Tribolium castaneum: one gene and its partner. The protein of the gene in region 1 interacts with the protein of each later gene in a pairwise test. Links are inferred from orthologs where the notes say so. Each region holds a gene or a part of one and is shown on either strand. Other genes may lie near its edges.

The links.
Region 2: the proteins of Prosalpha7 (region 1) and Hr38 interact in a two-hybrid assay, tested with the Caenorhabditis elegans proteins (2 studies listed by BioGRID). The link is inferred for Tribolium castaneum from reciprocal best matches to the Caenorhabditis elegans genes pas-7 and nhr-6.

The regions. Positions count from the first base shown.
Region 1 is NC_087402.1:4,014,613-4,017,867, reverse strand, and holds Prosalpha7 (proteasome subunit alpha type-3), read right to left. Parts: upstream 1,639-3,255; 5' UTR 1,500-1,638; coding exon 1,479-1,499; intron 1,429-1,478; coding exon 1,222-1,428; intron 1,168-1,221; coding exon 922-1,167; intron 872-921; coding exon 759-871; intron 712-758; coding exon 534-711; 3' UTR 501-533; downstream 1-500. Other genes in the region: NTPase (ectonucleoside triphosphate diphosphohydrolase 5), read right to left, coding at 81-110; cleavage and polyadenylation specificity factor subunit 6, read right to left, coding at 2,493-2,670, 2,726-3,255.
Region 2 is NC_087398.1:2,570,216-2,573,192, reverse strand, and holds the end of Hr38 (probable nuclear hormone receptor HR38), read right to left. Parts: intron 2,657-2,977; coding exon 2,400-2,656; 3' UTR 649-2,399; downstream 1-648. UniProt on the Caenorhabditis elegans protein: Transcriptional activator that induces gene expression by binding to the NGFI-B response element (NBRE) 5'-AAAGGTCA-3'. Required for proper morphogenesis of the spermatheca and the spermatheca-uterine valve formation.

The DNA of each region.
Region 1 (3,255 bases):
ATGTTTGGGTTTTACGGCACGACACGAGTCCAAATCAGTTATTAATAGAACGGAGGTTTGATCTTGGTTTGAGCTCTTACCTTTCGTCGACGCAATTCGTTGTTGGTCATGTTTTAATGATGCTTTTATCGGAGAAATAAAATTATATAGGCCGGCGAAGATTTTACACAATTGCCTTATTATTGATTGGCATGGAATTCTCAAAAAGGACGTGTCTGCGCACTTTGACTCGCAGAAATTGACTAAATAAATGCAATTAAATCGGCAGAAGTTGCACTATCATGTCCTTCACTAGTTTATCTTTACAGCTACTCATTTTCTAACGATTTGATAAGGTCGCCAACAATTGGTATCTAACCTCAAAACAGTCATTACTTGCACTTTCGTACCTCTGATAGCCACTTTCTGAGGAATCTGTATGAGACTCCCAACGGGTTCTTCCGCCTCAGGCGACAGAAAATGCGCCTTTTGATCATTTTGACAATAAAAAGAGGAAGATGTCATTTTTTAGAAATTTATTACTTAAAATAAAATTACATATCCTCAGTATCTGAATCTGAATCGGCCTCCATTGCTTGTTTCGCGGCCTTTTCCGCCTCAAGAAATACATGCTCAGGCACTTTTTCATGTCTTCCACCACTCTCTTCACACATCCACGACAACTCCAACTCAAAATTCTTATCTTTGAGCTCATCATGAACTAAGTAAATTCTGAAACAAACCATGAAATAACTCCTCGCACAAACGGTCAAATTTACATTTTTGCCGCCTCTTTGACCAGCTCTCTGCAAGTCATTCCGGACAATTTCAATTTTTCAATTTCGGTTTTTGCTGACTGTTTCGCCTTGCCTATAGCACAACCATGGTAGCCCTATATCACAAATTTACAAAAAAAAATAATTTTTGAGGGGGCACACTTACATAACTGACTCCTGAGGGGTCTATTGTGTACATAGTGGGGCCCTCTTCGCCACAACTCGCCAGAATCACGCTGCAACCATAGGGCCGGACTGCACTGTACAAAGTGTAGGCATGCATGTACATGCTGACCCTATCGTTGAGGTAATTAAGGGGGATACTGACCCCATACTGGGACCTGTAGTTGGCAGCTTCGCGGCGTGCAATGTCCACGATTTGTCTGGCGTCGGCAATAAGCCCCGAAAACGCCTAAAACAGGCGTTTTTAGTCAAATATTTGAGTTTTAAGGGGGGCTCTAAGTACCATTCCAACGTGTCTATCGACGTTGAAAATTCGTTTGTTGGTGCCCGGCTCATGCAATTTCGACATAACTAGTTTTTCGGCGGCTAAGACAACCCCATCTTTGCCTCTCAGACCGATAACGGTGCCGCTATTTTCCACGGCTTTCATCGCATACTCCACTTGGAAAACTCGACCATCGGGGGAAAATTGAGACGCCGATAAATCATACTAAAACTTGCTAGTCAGTCTTAATTGATATTAAATTGGTAAATACTCACGCCTGTGCCTATTGAACTCATTGTTTTTATTAAAGTTTGAAAATTTCGGCGTGATTTGCAGTTTGCGTTTCGACAAGTCAACAAATGTCACTTTTGACGGTTGTCAAATAATGAGCGCCCTCTGAAATGACTCGCGGAATTATCAAAGAACAGGACCGTAACGACCGCGTTTCGGGAAACAACACCATGAATGGTTAAATTATTTATATTGTATAAAGAAATTACACTACATTTGTACTTTGGTTCGAGTTGAGAATTTTTTCCACGGTCGGTTATCAGCCTAACTAGTTTTTACAAATCAAATGAGAAATAAAATCGGGCAATTTTGGTGCGGAATTACAAAATTATAAAAAATATAAATTAAAATAATTTTTTCAAAGTGCGGTCAGGAATTGAATAAATCAACTTCCGGAGTAATGAGATGCGAAGCTGATTTATCTAAACCTATCACTTATAAAAATACAAAAACATTTTGGCAACATTCACAACCCTTAAAGCTATTCGCATGAAGTGATTGGAAAGATCGTTCCTTTACCATTCAAGCCAAACAGTCGGTTTGAATGGTAAATTAGTAAATTGACATGAGTTATTCACAGCCTTTTCGTTTTAAAATACATCAAACTAAAAAACAAAATAAATTAGATAAGTGTACAACAAGAAATGTTACAAGAGGTTTAAATAATAAATAAATAAAAACAAGTGAAGGGGTGATACAGTACAAATTACATAACGGATCAAGTAGGTTAATCAATCAAATAAGAGAAAAATAAAAATCCATTCTCAGTCTAAACCATATTTTTTATCTAAAACATACAATCTTCTTCAGATTAAGCGTCTTCTTCACTCTTCTTCTGTAGAATAGGTTTAGATATTACAAACAAAATAAACATTTCGATTACATAATGAAATTCAGAGATGTGTACTAGTTTGACCTAACACTATATAAGTATATTTTTTTCATTACATGCATGACATGTATGGTACAACATATTACGAATGCGGCCTAAAAAATTGTTAATGCCGAGAACGATGAGATTCGTCTCGACGATCTCTTTCACGTTCCCGTTCACTTTCACGACGTCCCTCCCTTTCACGATATCTATCTTCGTAATAACGAGATTTCGATGTCGGCTCTCCTGAGGGATCCACTGCGTCAGGAGGCGACTTGTTCCTGGACCGGGACACACGGGACCTATAAAAAATCCAAACTAATAATTTACTCAACGTCGTTGCAAAATACCACTTACGCATCATCTGCTTCTCTGTCTCTGTATTCGCGTTCCCGTTCCCGGTCTCCTCTACTCCGGGATCTATCCCGCTCCCGCTCCCTGTAACTATCCGCATAGTATCTATCTCTATCGCGGTCCCTGTCACGATCTCTGTCTCTTTCACGGCTTCTTTCGCGATATCTTGAAGACGATCGTTCCCTACGACCTCTCCTGTGTGCTCTATCTCTCGATCTTGACCGATCTCTTCTTCCCGAACTGTAACTCTTATCCTCCACACCTCGTAGAGTATCCTGTAACGAGCTAATCAAAATCTTACACCTGTCATCATTCGCGACTTTCGATTGTTTGATGAGAGATATAGCCGTGACCAATGTCTCTATTGCGCTAGCGTATTCGCCGGCGGCAGCATCCGAAACCGCTCGAGCGATAGCCGACGACGAAACCGTCCGATTTCTTGACATAATATCCTCAAACTCTTGTTCGCTTATTGGGGGCATATCGTTGCGGTGATCCGGAGGCGGGCCTCCATACGGTGGCTGCGGCATGCT
Region 2 (2,977 bases), on another chromosome or scaffold:
TGTGAAATTCATTACGAGGGATGTTTACAAAATGCAGGAAATACTTAGGCAAATGAAGTTGATTGCCTTCAGAATGCGTTCGCTATACCTCTCTGAGCTGAATCTTTTAATACACATCGTCGCATAAAAACCCGTTGGTATGTACCCACCTCAAGATATTCGGCTGTTATAATTATGTCTATCATTCAGCTCTTTCATATGCTAATTAATGAGATCCTGAAATACTTACTGATAGCTTTTTCTCGTGATTAATTATGATTCAGCGTCAAGTTAATTGTATAATTTTGAATAGGACAGACGTCATTCGAGAAAACGTATAAGGAGAGCTATGAAGCTGTAATTTTTTCTGACAAAGAATGCGATTTTTAATTCAATTTATGGCATAGCTGAGATAAGGTATTTTAGTTTACTAATTATGGCTGTGTATGTAGATAAAGCTTTGAAATAATGGCTAATTTTTTCAGAGTGAATACTCGGTGTAATTTATAGATTTCATGAATCTTTTTACAGCATAATTATTCGTAATTTGCTGTCAATAACTATTAAATAAAGTAGTCGTTATTAATTAGAGGAAGCCGGTTTAATGTGCAGCTTCTGGTGGTTTAACTGCATGAAAAATTGCTAGGAGTGGGAAAGTACAAAAGAATGTTACTTCATAACTTTTATTAAATCAAATAAAATTGTTACAATATATTTCATATACCTAACAAAAAGAAAAAGGTAAAAGGCAATGATATGATAAATAAGTAAACTGTAAATGGTTAAATACATTATAATGATATATCTAAATCTGCGAAATAATTGCTGTAGTAATTGTTCACTTAAGTATATCATTACTTTTCGATAGAATCAGGTAAAAACTAACACATACGATTACACATAATCTACAGAGCTGTAGAATATAGGATTTGTTGGTAACTATATCTAACATAATTTAAAACTTAAAAAATCTAATCTAGTCAATACAGCAAGTAAAAACTGGCATTTAATGGCAAGTTTCATGTCAATAATAAATTTATAAAATGTAGTTAACAAGTTGTGCTTTAAGTACGATAGGTGGTTAACCTATCAAAAAAAAGTATTAATGCCTATAACATGGTAAAAAAGTTCTTTTTGGAAAATAATCCATAGCGATCGTCGATTAAGTACACATATTTTCTCCAAAATATACAAAACAGATAGAAATAAAGCAGGTACAAAATTCTAGAGATGACGAATATTGCAAGGTTCCCGTTTGCCCGAACCGTATGCTAAAAAAATAGCAATTATATCTCTATATTAGCATCTTATTTACAATAAATTATTTTCTTAAATTCCTTGAACGAAGCCGTTAGTGCGAAAAGGACATCAACTAAAGCTCTTGTATATTTTCTTTAAGACTATAATATTATAAGCGGACGGTGTAAGTTTTTTAAAGAATAAAGGTGCAGGTAACACCCAAATATCGACCATTCCTTCAGGTAACTCTCTTTTCAGTCCATCCGTTACGATCCAAGGCAGTTGTTGATATGAAATTATAGATATGAAATGGCACATTTAATTCTCAAGTCGACTGGTAACTAGCGCGAAATTAGTAAAACCCCCTCAAACTAGGAATCAATTCTACAATTTTGGTCAACATTTACAAGGGGAAAGCTCTCGACTATTCTTTAGTTTCATATAAAAATACACAAATAAAGCGAATATAAAAATTAAATAGTTGCAGGTAACTCCCGACAGGTAATTTATTACATAACTATTAAAATATAGAATTCTTTTTGTGTAAATAAAATATTTTTTTAAGTATGTACAGTGCCTTGACTAGGTATATCGCATATATTAGTGGTTCCACACGATTGTGTAGTGGTAACATTGAAAAAATAATAAAAGCTTACAATATATTACTATAACCCTAACTATCTTTATCACGTAAAGTTGTAACATAAGTTTCTGCTCTTAGAGTATTATCTTCAGGTTCGTTCTCTTGGTCGCGTATTCAAAATATAGTTCGTCACAAAGAAAAATTGTGACCATCAGAATCGAGTTCTGAGTGCCCGAGCACTAGAAACAGCAAACATCAATAGGTTGAACTAAGCCTACGAGAGTAAGCAACAATAATTTTTACAAAAAACGTAAAAAACATCGATAGTAGGTTACAGTGACGTGTTTCTCAAAGTGGAAAAGGTGTCTATCGTGCACAAGAACTGCAACACCAAAAGTTCTCAACATAATTCGAAATCTGGCGAAACTGCCCGAAAGTCCACCAGCCCCACCATCATCGTCCCAAAAAAGCGTCTTTTTTAGGCCGTGACCGGATTTTCGGGCAGTTCCCTCGCCCTCGGGAAAGACTAATACGTACGACCTATTTAACAAATCACATAGAAGAGTTTATCACGTTTCGAAAAATATCAACTAACAATTTAGAAAGGTAGGCTAGCTACGAACATCTTCTCGATGAGGGGAGGGGCCGGGACCAAGTCTTCCAGCTTCAGGTAAAAGATCCTCTGCAGTCCTTGCACGCTCAAGGACCTCAGCTCCGGCAGTTTGCCCAATAGCCGGCTAAAGTAGTGCGCCTTCCTCTGCGCCTCCGCGTTGTACGTCACATGATCCCTCAGCGAGGAGATTATCTTCATTTGGAGCTGCTCCACACGGTGGGGCTCCTTCAGACCGTGCCGCTCTGCAACAGGAGGTCCGTGGTAACAGCGCTTTCGCAACCGATTTATTTCAAGCATTCAAAATCCGAAATAAAAATTCAAACTTGCACAACGGCCAACACTTGCCAAACTGAATATTTTTAAACGTCCATCTCGATCGAAACCCGCTTCCGTGAAGATCAGTTTCGTTGCGAAACTCCTCAAAACCCGAGAATTTTAAACATTTGCTGAGTCAGCAGATTTCTCTTATTGCATGCTGAAGTTTTAACACAACATGCACAAAATTTGTTGATGGAGTCCAAACAAGCAATAAATTACGTTTTTTCGACACCGAGTCTATTTTT